Pelodiscus sinensis: one gene and its partners. The protein of the gene in region 1 purifies or fractionates together with the protein of each later gene. This does not show direct contact. Links are inferred from orthologs where the notes say so. Each region holds a gene or a part of one and is shown in the gene's direction. Other genes may lie near its edges. The genes, in order: POLR2H, POLR3K and CRCP.

What was found.
Region 2: the proteins of POLR2H (region 1) and POLR3K purify together in Homo sapiens (affinity purification with mass spectrometry; 3 studies listed by BioGRID and IntAct, with this or other methods). This does not show direct contact. The link is inferred for Pelodiscus sinensis from reciprocal best matches to the Homo sapiens genes POLR2H and POLR3K.
Region 3: the proteins of POLR2H (region 1) and CRCP purify together in Homo sapiens (affinity purification with mass spectrometry; 3 studies listed by BioGRID and IntAct, with this or other methods). This does not show direct contact. The link is inferred for Pelodiscus sinensis from reciprocal best matches to the Homo sapiens genes POLR2H and CRCP.

Annotation. Positions count from the first base shown.
Region 1 is NC_134720.1:48,355,934-48,359,680, forward strand, and holds the start of POLR2H (DNA-directed RNA polymerases I, II, and III subunit RPABC3), read left to right. Parts: upstream 1-773; 5' UTR 774-913; coding exon 914-986; intron 987-1,450; coding exon 1,451-1,534; intron 1,535-2,527; coding exon 2,528-2,621; intron 2,622-3,359; coding exon 3,360-3,443; intron 3,444-3,747. UniProt on the Homo sapiens protein: DNA-dependent RNA polymerase catalyzes the transcription of DNA into RNA using the four ribonucleoside triphosphates as substrates.
Region 2 is NC_134726.1:4,941,217-4,944,963, forward strand, and holds POLR3K (DNA-directed RNA polymerase III subunit RPC10), read left to right. Parts: upstream 1-1,143; 5' UTR 1,144-1,166; coding exon 1,167-1,277; intron 1,278-1,510; coding exon 1,511-1,598; intron 1,599-2,936; coding exon 2,937-3,064; 3' UTR 3,065-3,172; downstream 3,173-3,747. Other genes in the region: SNRNP25 (U11/U12 small nuclear ribonucleoprotein 25 kDa protein), read right to left, coding at 647-737, 974-1,090. UniProt on the Homo sapiens protein: Core component of RNA polymerase III (Pol III) which synthesizes small non-coding RNAs using the four ribonucleoside triphosphates as substrates. Can mediate Pol I proofreading of the nascent RNA transcript.
Region 3 is NC_134731.1:20,054,967-20,058,713, reverse strand, and holds the start of CRCP (DNA-directed RNA polymerase III subunit RPC9), read left to right. Parts: upstream 1-860; coding exon 861-920; intron 921-3,747. UniProt on the Homo sapiens protein: DNA-dependent RNA polymerase catalyzes the transcription of DNA into RNA using the four ribonucleoside triphosphates as substrates.

The DNA of each region.
Region 1 (3,747 bases):
GGCGGCTCCTTGCAAGACTCAGAACCCGGCTGCGGCGTCTCTGCCGCCAGGGGCCATCGCTGCTGCGCAGAGCCCAGGTGCCTAGCCGGGCAGCCTTCCGGTGCACATGGCTAGGGACCCCCACCTGCCCCGGCCCCGCGGCTTCCCACGCAGCCTCCGCAAGGATCCGTCGGTGCACCGGCTCCTCCCCCCGGCCGCAGGGGCAGCGTTTCTGGGCGGGAGCCAGCCAGGCCAAGGGACACCTGGCTCCTCTCGTCCCCCGGGGGCGCTCCCTGCCCCGGGACGGCAGGGCAGGCGGGGATGGAGGAGTCACTGGCCCAGCAGGGCCCAAGCAGAGGGAGGGGCTGGGCTGGCAGCTGACGCCGCACCTGCCTGGGAGCGCAGCGCAGCCCCGCGTGCAGCAGGTACCCGAAGGGGGGGGCGGGTGGTTATGGGGCCCAGCCCGGGGCCTGAAGGGCGCCCCTCCCCCCAGCCCTGGGACCAATGGGCGCCCCTCCCCCACCTAATCACCTGTCCCCCCCCCCCCCCGGGAGATCGGGAGAGCCCCCCCACGGGCAGTGCGGGGATGGGCCTCGCCCTGGGTGTTTGTGTAGGGTCGCGGGGGCCGGGCTTTGCGGGGGGACGGGATTGGGGGCGGGTCTATGGGACGGGGCCCCGGACACCCCGACAGGCGCTGCCCGCAGGTGCTGGGAGCAGCCGGGGAGGGAACCCAGGCGTCCGGGACACCAGGGGGCGGGGCGGGGCTGCGAGCGCCCAACAGACGGGAGGGAGCCTGTGCGCATGCGCGGCGTAGAGCCGGGCCGGGGGAGTGCTTCCGCCCCGCACTGACATGGCGGCGCCGCGTGGGCTCTAGCGGGCGCCTGGCCGGAAGTGAGGGTCCGCCGGCCCCGAGCCCCTGCGCCCGCCGCGCGCCATGGCCGGGATCCTCTTCGAGGACATCTTCGACGTGAAGGACATCGACCCCGAGGGCAAGAAATTCGACCGGGGTGAGTCAGCGCCCCCCCCCCCCAGGTCCAGGGGGCCGGGCCCCATAGCGCCCCCTCCCCCCCACGGATCTGGGGCCGGGCCCCATAGCGCCCCCTCCCCCCCACGGATCTGGGGCCGGGCCCCATAGCGCCCCCTCCCGCCCACGGATCTGGGGCCGGGCCCCATAGCGCCCCCTCCCCCCCACGGATCTGGGGCCGGGCCCCATAGCGCCCCCTCCCCCCCACGGATCTGGGGCCGGGCCCCATAGCGCCCCCTCCCCCCCACGGATCTGGGGCCGGGCCCCATAGCGCCCCCTCCCCCCCACGGATCTGGGGCCGGGCCCCATAGCGCCCCACGGATCTGGGGCTGGGTCGGGAGCAAGGCCCTTGAATAAACAGGTCCAAACCTCCCTCCCCCAAGATCTGGGTGTGAACGTGAACCGAAACTGCGTCCCGGGTCACTGGTTCTGCTCCTTCTCTCCCAGTTTCCCGCCTGCATTGTGAAAGTGAGTCTTTCAAGATGGACCTAATCCTGGATGTGAACATACAGATCTACCCCGTGGACCTGGGTACGTAGTAGGGGGCCCTCAGGCTGGCAACAGATAATCCTTGTATCAGGCAGCCCCTGCTGAGCTAGAGCCAGCTGCTGGCGGAAGTGCCCATAACACTATGGGCTTGTCTACCCAGGGTATGAAGTTTAATTAAGGAAAAGGCTGTGTGATTTAAAGTGCAGTAAGCCCCTGTCTGCATGCTGCTGTTCTGAAGGAACGAGGCCTTCAATTAGATCCAGTGGTCACATGCAGCTGTGATGTGAGGGGAAGCACTTCACCTGCCTGACAGCTCCATGACCTCTAGGGATCATGCTACTCAGAGCGCATCACCTGGCACTTGGATGTGCTGTTGAATGCCCTGATTGCCCTTCCTTGGAGCTGGGAGCCCTGAATACTGTGTGCCTGAGTGACTGTGCAGATCGGGGCGAGGAGCCAGTTCACAGGTGGCTTGCTTCTCTTTGCCATCAAGCACCGTTGCAGTAAGATGCAGCCTGTATGCCTTGTGTGCTTTGGTTTCGGAGTTCCTTCCTGGCTACGTCTACACCGGCAGCTTCTTGTGCAAGAACTGTTTTGCGGAAGAGTTCTTGCACAAAAAGTCTTCCACAAGAGCGCGTCTACACTGGCATGTGCTTTTGCGCAAGAGCATCCATGGCAGTGTGGACGCTGTCTTGCGCAAGAAAGCTCTGATGGCCATTTTAACCATAGGGGCTTCCTGTGCAAGAAATTCATGTGGCCCGGCTACACTGCCCTCTTGTGGAAGAGCTCTTGCGCAAGAGGGCTTATTCCTCGTGGGGAGCGGAATAACTCTGCCGGCAGAAGCCCTGTTTTACAACGCTGTACTGTAAATTTACTTGCGCAAGAACGCGCGTGCAGTGTAGACAGCAGGCAAGTTTTTGCGCAAGAACAGAAGCTGCCGGTGGCGACGTAGCCCCTGTGTGGGATCATACTTCCTGTGCCCAGCTGGCCTCCTTGGGAGCGTGCCTTTCACCTGCTCTCTGTTGGGTATTGCAGGTGACAAATTCCGTCTGGTTATTGCCAGCACCTTGTATGAAGATGGGACCCTGGATGATGGGGAGTATAACCCCACCGATGACAGGCCGTCCAGGTAACGGGGCAGCATCTGGCAGGGAGTAGCTCAAGAATTCAGTAGTGTCTCATGCAGGCTGAGGTCAGTGAACGGAGGGGTAAAGAAAGTGGGGAAAGCGTGGAGCTGGGGAGCTGCCCTGGGTCAGCATCCCTGTCTGATCACGTTGGCCTTTAAACACCAGGGAGAAGGGGCTAACCAGAGCAGCCCTTGGTTCCCAGCCTTTGTCTGGCAGATTCCCACTGTGGTCAGTCGGCAAGTGGGCACTGCTGTCTCCTCGCACGTTTGCCGCTTTTGCTTTTGTGCCCGCGCTCTGCTCTCTTGTCGGCCGCCGTTCATTTTCTCTGTTTTCCTTGTCATCTTTCACTTTTATCTGTCCTGTTGAGTTTTTGGTTTCTAAACTCTCTTATCCGTAATTAGACAGTCCTCGTCACTGCTGTATCTGAGCAGCCCCTATCTGTTCTTGGCGGCCCTGGTTCTGTAGCTCCTCCATATTCGCCGGGGGTTGCTTGAGCTAGCTGTGGCTATTGGTGGTGCTGTAAGGCCGGATTGCACGTGCCTTCAAGCTTCACTTAGTGCTGTGGAGGTAGAGGCCAGACTGTGCTTATGGGGCTGGCTGCATTGGGGGCTATCTCAGGCGTGCAAAGCAGACCAGGTGGCTTTCCAAGAACCACGTGGTGCTTTTCCCCTGCGTTGGGCAAGAGGGTCTGATCTGTGGCCATGTACCTCCCTCCACCCCCACTGTCTTGTTGCACGCAGGGCCGACCAGTTTGAGTACGTGATGTATGGCAAGGTGTACAGGATTGAGGGAGACGAAACGTCCACGGAGGCAGCCACGCGCCTGTAAGTGTCCTCCTTGCCCTCCCCTCACCCCCATACCATTCCCCTGCCGTCCACAAGAGGTAAGGGGGGTGGTTCTATGCCCCACCAGGGCACAATGTCCCAAGCTTGGGTAGCTAAGGGAGGGACAGCATGGTCCTGCTCAGAGTTGCTAGTGGGTCCATAGGGGAATGCCGGGGCACTGAGCATAGAGTGGTGAGTGGAGGCCGTAGCCAGCGCTCCCTGTAGCCGCCAGTGTGCTCCCTGACACTGATGAGGTGAGCAACTATGGCTGCCTCTTGGCTGTAAGACCTCTAGAGCCCGAGTG
Region 2 (3,747 bases), on another chromosome or scaffold:
CGAATGCTTCAGAGCACGGACATGGCTGTGATTTGCAGGGGACACAATTCAACACCGTCCCTGCATGTGCCATTTAACATGACAACCGTGTACTTAGAGCATATATGTGATCTTAGAAGGTAAAGCTACACTGTAATGAAGACAGGCCGTTCTTGCGCAAGAACCCGCAGAGCAGCCTCACTGCCCGCCTGCTCTTGTGCGAGACTTACAGTACAGCGGCAGAAGATGGGGCTTCTTGTGCAAGAGCTACGCTCTTTTCTAACAAGCGTAAGCGCTCTCGCGCAAGAGGGTAGTGTGGACGCGCGGCAGGAGTTTCTTGTGCACGAAAGCCGGATGGCTAAAATGGCTCTCTTGCGCAAGAGAGCATCCACACTGCCAGGGATGCTCTTTCACAAAAGCACGTGGCAGTGTGGCCGTGTTCTTGTGCAAGAACCCGCCGGTGTAGAGACAGCCTAGGAGCGGATCTCAGAATCCCTGCTCCAGTTTGAGCCCACATGTCTATGCCGCAAGTTTTAGCCCCATAGCCCGAGTCCCGCCAGCCAGAGGGGATGGACTCAATGCTGCGGGCTTTCCAGAGCAGAGCGGCCCCCCAGCGGCTCCCAACACCACCCCGCACAGACGGCGCAGGCCAGTGCGGGGGACTCACGCATCACTTCTTCATCCGCCTTGCACACGCGCACAGTCATGGCCTGGCCGTACTCCAGCGCGATCTGCGAATTGATTTCCTCCACCGTGACCTGCCGGGAAGCGAAGGGCCGATGAAGCGCCCGGCGCCGGCAGGGCTCCTGCAGCCATGGGGGTCTGACCCCCTCCAAGGCTGTATCGCCCCGCCCCCACCCGCAGTCACGTGGGGCGCGAGCTCGGGACACGCCCCCTCCCCCCGTGCGACTCGTTAACGGTCAGTGCCGCGGGGCAGTCACGAGGCCGCGGGCGGGGCCGGGCGCGCGCCGCGCGGGCGGAGGGGAGGCGCTACCTGCACGGGCAGGTCGCAGAGCAGCGGGTCCTGCACGAGCCGGGCCAGCCCCTCCTGGAAGAGGTCGAGCACCTCGGCGTGCGCCAGCTCCTCCTCCTCGGGGCCCGACTCCGCCATCGCCGCCGGCAGGGCGGGGCTTCCTGTGACCCGCTCGGGGGAAGAGGCGGGGCCGCGCCGTGACCCGGAAGCAGAAATGCTGCTGTTCTGCCCGGCCTGCGGGAACGTGCTGGTGGCCGAGGAAGGCGCGAGGTGCCACCGCTTCGCCTGCACCACGTGTCCCTACGTGCGCAACGTCACGCGCAAGGTAACCCCCGCCCCCCCCTGCCACCTCGGTGGGCGGGGACTGACAGCCCCAACGGCCGACCTGCTGGGGCAGAGCAACCAATCAGAGCCTGGGCGGGGGTTGCCCTGAGGAGGCTGCTGGGGGCGGAGCTAATCGCTAGGAGGGTGGGGCTGATGTGGGCGGGGCTCCTGTCGTGCCTGAGCCCCGCCTACCAGGTGGGGGCTGGGCAGGCACTTCACAGCCTGTCCCCACAGGTGAGCAGCCGCAAGTACCCCAAGCTGAAGGAGGTGGACGATGTGCTGGGCGGCGCGGCGGCCTGGGAGAACGTGGACTCCACGGCGGGTGAGCGCCGGCCTCTGCGCTGCTCTCCGACTGGCCTGGGCCAGCAGCCGGCCCCGGGCCCCCTTCCAGGAGATCTGGCTCCAGCGACAGGCCACCTAGCCCATATCCTTAGAGCCCTGCCGCATCCATAGCCCCCACAACGAGCCGCAGACACCTGCACGTACCACCCCTCTGCGGATGCAGATACCCGCGGATTTGCAGGGTTCTAGATTAAAAAATTTGCATCCACATCCGCAGAAATGAGCTGCTGGTCTCCGCTTCCCCAGATACTTGCGGACATAAAGCAGGTATCCGCAGATTTGCAGGGCTCTACGTATCCTGTCCAATTACATAGCCAGCACCAGGTGCTTTGTAGGGAACAAATAGAACGTGTGGTTATCACGTGATGGATTTTGTCACCCATTCTCAGTTTCTGGCAGTCAAGCTAGAGCCATTCAGAGCATGGGGTTGTGTACCTGCTAGTTTTGCCTAATAGCCAATGATGGACTTCTCCTCCATGAACCTCTTTTGAAACCTTTTATGGTTTTGGCCTTCACAATATCCCCTGGCAGTGAGTCCCACAGGTTGTCTGTGTTTTGTGAAGAGACACTTCCTTCTGTTTGTTTTAAATCTGCTACCTGTTAACACAAGAACCTGGAGTCACCAAATAACATGTGAAGGAGGAAATATTTTCTTATTTACTTTCTGTATATCAGTCATCATTCTATAGACTTCTGTCACATCCTCTCTGTTATTTCTTTTCCAAGCTGAAATACCCCAGGCTATTTAATCTCTCTATAGAAGCTGAGTCATACCACGGATCATTTTTGCCGCCCTTTCCAATTTTGATCTATTTTTTTTGAGAGGGGGTGACCAGAATTGCACATATTATTCAAGGTGTGGTTGCACCATGGATTTATGTAGTGGTATTATATGTTTTGTCTTATTGCCTATCCCTTTCCTACTGGTTCCTAATATTGTCACCTCTTTTGATTGCTGCTGCACACTGAGCAGATATTTTTCAGAGAACTATCCACAATGACTCCATGGATAGTTAGTGTTGCCCTTGTATTTTAGAACCAGCTAGTCCCCAACATGCTAAATTCAGTGCCATTAGGGGGTGTTCTCAAGCACAGTGGCCTGAGGTTCTCATCTACCCCTGAAGGCCCTTTTAAGTTCTCTCATCATGTAAAAAGTGAGCCAGTGGACATTTGGAAATCTCTCTTGAATGGCTTGTGGAAGGCTGCATTCTAGTCCATCAGGTAGAGTGGCCCTCACAGTGAGCTCCCCTGGCAGAATGAAGAATTTGCTTTATTACCCTGGGAGCTGTACTCACTAGAGTTCTGGTTTCTTTTACAGAGCCATGTCCCAAGTGTGAGCATCCTCGCGCCTACTTCATGCAGATTCAGACCAGATCAGCTGATGAACCCATGACCACCTTCTACAAGTGTTGTAATGCCCAGTGTGGGCACAGGTGGAGGGACTGACTGGTTTCAGATTTAATTTCTTCAGTGTTGTTTTTGCTGTTTGTTTGAAAATTCCCCAGCTGAGTTGTATGATATATGGTAATGTGGAAATAAATATCCCTGGTTTCAGTTGTTGCATGAGTTTAAATTAACATTGACTGCTGCTAGTGCAGGCATTCACCATAATCTGATGGTCCAGGGTGAAGGTTATGCATATACTGCACATTTTCCTAATGGCACACACAGCAGAACAAAGAGCTGCCTCTGTTTAGAGCTGTGGTGTCTAACCAGTTCTGAATCAGTAGCCAGTATAGTGGTTGCTGCTATAGCAAACTAGCCCCTCAGCCAGCCAAATAGCCACATGTGGCTAGCGTATTGGATGCTATGGTGTAGGGTGGTGGGTCACCAGCGCCTCCTACAATGCAGAGGCTAGGTCACTTGCATCACCACGAAGTGTCCACCCAGCTCTTGTCTCTGTTGTACTCAAGAGTTGGGGGCACAGGATCCAGTAGAAGGTTGTAGGGAAAACAAGTACGTGTAGGCTTCCCGGCTCCCAAATAAAGAGGTAGAGGCCTGTATGCCTGCAGCTGGAGCAGCAGAATATTAGCCCCTTCTCCCCTTGATTTTCCATGTGCAGGTTTATGCACTAGTTGTGTGAGAGATTTCTGGTAGTAAAGGGCTCTTTAATCTTTGATATTGTGTTA
Region 3 (3,747 bases), on another chromosome or scaffold:
CACTATATTGTGTCTTTTTTATATGAAGCAACTCAGGCACCATGGGAAAAGTCCTTATTTTGTTTTGTTTGATAACTTTTTGTTGTTGTTACTACTGTCTGTTCAGCATAATGCGTTGCTCTGGTGAGGTATAGTGCTCTTGCCTATTTTTTAAACATAACATTTATTTATGTATTTTAAAATATAATTATAGTATTTTTTCCCAATTAAGAATGTCCTAATTAAGTAAATTTGCATAACTCAGAGCAAACTTGTTTAGCTTAACGATAGTGAATGGCAATTATTTTTTTTGTTGATGGGGATAGAATTATTATACATTTCACTTAATAGGGAAGCATTTGGCAGGTGTTGAGTGATGGGAAACTCTAAACTTCAGTCTGCTAATATGGAACTTTTCAAATAAACATTAAAAGAACACAATAAAGATGAAATTTAATGACTATTATTCTTTCATTTGCGTTCTGTGCAGTATGCTTTTTTTTAATAATCTTGTGTTAAGGGTCCACCTTCAGGGAATTTTTCACTATGATTATTTAGGATGTTAAGCCAGTCCAGGGGCTGTCCCAGTTAAGATGATTCTGTTGTGCAAGTTAAACACTTGATGATACAAATATTCTTACACAAATTAATTAATTGTGTAAGAATATTTGTAATAGCTATGTTTGAAGTTTGTGAAAATAAGTAACTCCTAAAGGCAGCAATAGCTAGGAATTGTAGAGGATTTAACAGAATTAAATCTTGAAGATTTTATTTAAAAAATTCTCAGAATTTACTGAAAAATGTCCGTCTCGTCCCGTCCCGTCCCCCCCCCCCGATCAGTAAAAAAGAGAGAATGGATTTGTGACCGTTTCTTTTGAGACATGCATAATTTTCTGTTTTTCAGGAAAGATGCAAATGCTGCATTGCTGAGTAACCTTGAGGTAAGTTAATTTGCTCCATGATTTTAAACTGACAACTTAACATCATCACAGCGAGTCAAAATATATTCTTTTTGATGTCAATGAAAACATGGACCAGAGCAGATAAAAATGTCTCCAAGAAATCTGGGAGACCTGTTTGTGACTTTTGCTTTTTCACATGTGGATTTCTTTGTTTTTAATTAGCTTGGTAAAATGGGGGCTCTCATCCTGGTTTAAAAGGTGACTTAGAAATGATATTATTGGCACTGTTTGCATGACAAATATGAGCAGGGTTGGATTAGGGATGTAAGCAACTAGTTGACTACCTGATAAGCAAATGCTTATTGGGTAGTTAAGTAGGAACTCGACTAGTTGCTCCCCCCCACACTTGCTGCCTTTATCAGAGGGATGCAGCAAGGGGGCGGGGAGAGCACCGTCTACGTGGGGGGGCAGGAGAAGTAGAAGGCATCGGGGAAATGGCACAAGTGGGGATCGAAACAGTCCCACTCGTTCCGGTTGGACTGCTGCTCCTCTCCATTTGAAACGTACAAGAGCTACCTGCGGATTCCCGCTACTTTTCCCTTTGAAATATAACATTTCAAAGCAAGAGGCTCAACAGGATAGCAAGCACCCCCCTTACTGACTAATCGAATAGAAATTCCATCAACTACTCTATTAGCGAATTAATCGAAATTTAACATCCCTAGCTTGGATCCCAAATCAGTAATAAACCCCCAAATGTTAGAATTGTGTGTGTTCTTAAATCCATGAGAAAATAGTCCTTCAGAACATTTTAATTATCTCTCTCTTCATTCACATGTTTATGTTAATTTTCTGAATATCCTTACTTTGCATGTAGTATTCGTAATCTAGGGTTTGATTCTCCACTCTTTTACACCAGTTTTTCATCTGGGAAACTTCCCTGGTTTCTTTGCAGTTATACTTTTTACTCATCAGGCCCAAAATCTTTAAGTTGTCAACTTTGTATCCATAGAAAGTGATGCCTAAGGCCAGGTCTCCACTAGGGGGGCAAAGTAGAAGTAAGGTTCACAACTCCAGCTATTTGAATAGCATACCTGAAGTCAACATACCTTAGTTCGACTTACCCCATCATCCCTACTGAGGGTGTCGACAGGAGAAACTCTTTCATTGACTTCCCTTACTCTTCATGACCTGGGGGAGTACTCGGGTTGACATGAGCGTGACCGATGGTCCATTTAGTGTACCTTTATTAGAGCCACTAAACTGACCTCTGGGAGATGGTTCTCTGCAGCATTGATCTCCCAGTCAGTGAAGACAAGGCCTAAATGGAAAACCAGTTTTAAGAGAGAGCCAAGAGAATTATACATATAAATCAAAAATGAATACTACAAAAAATAGAAACATGGACAAATTGCTAAGTATGAGTACAGAAGAATAGCACATGCATAGAAGGACAAACTCACAAAGACTAAGAGCCAAAATGCATAATTCGTAGAAGAGGCCATAAATGGCTGTAAAAAGAGGCTCTATAAGTAAAGAGTGAGAGAAAGACGAAGGAAAGTGTAGACCCAGTACTTAGTGGGAAGGGGAGTTAAGAATGGATGCCATTAAGAAAGCTGAGGTGTTAAATGCCTATTTTATTCACTCTTCACTAATAACGTTAATAGTGAATAGCTATTTAACACAGTTAATATTAGCCAGGGGAAAGGTGTGCGAACATTAGGTAAATTAGGTGTATTCAGGTAAGCAGGGCCTGATGAAATTCACCTTAGAATTAGGGAGCTAGATGAAGCAATCATTAGTGATTATCTTTGCGAGCTCATGGCGAACAGGTGAGGTCTCATATCTGGACAGGTACAGAATACTTATCTTTAGAAAGAGGACCCATATAAAGCAATAATATCAATATGTGAAAAGATGCTGGAATCAATTATGTAAGCACTTACTGGATAATGAGGTAATAAATAATAGCCAACATGGATTTGTCAAGAATAGGTTGGTCTGCCATGATTTGATTTCTGTCTTTGAGTTAGTGACCTAGTGGATGGGAAGAAGCTGTAGGCATGATATATATTAGGGTATGTCTATACAGCACACTTATTTCAAAATAAGCTATTCCGGAATAGTTATTCCGAAATAGTTTTTCGAAATAGCACATCTACACTGCAGGGAAGCCTCAAAATTAGTCCAAACTAGGCTTCCCTAATGTAGATGTGCTATTTTGATTTAGAGCCCCTGGAGGCACTGAGGAGGAATAACTTAGAATGGCCTTGGTGAGGAGCTATTTTGAAATAGCAGGAGTGCAGAGTCTCCATATGCTTATTTCAAAATAACTATTTCGGAAAAGGCATTTTTCCTAGAATGAGGTTTGGGACTTCAATCACCCTGACATCTGTTGGGAGACCAATACAGCAGTACACAGGCAATCCAGGAAGTTTTTGGAGAATGTTGTGGGGATAACTTCTTGGTACAAGTGCTGAAGGATCCGAACAGGGGACGTGCGCAGCTTGACCTTCTGCTCACAAACAGGGAGGAACTAATTGGGGAAGTAGAGGTGGGTGACAGCCTCGGAAGCAGTGATCATGACATGGTAGATTTCAGGATCCTGACCAAAGGGAGAAAAGAGAGTAGTAAAATACACACCTTGGATTTCAGAAAAGCAGACTTTGAGTCCCTCAGAGACCTGATGGGCAGAATCCCCTGGAATGCTAACATAAAGGGGAAAGGAGTCCAGGAGAGCTAGCAGTATTTTAAAGAAGCCTTATTGAAGGCACAGAAAGAAACCATTCCAATGTGTAGCAAGAGAAGCAAACATGGTAGGAGACCGGATTGGCTTACAGGGGAAATCCTTGGTGAACTTAAGCAC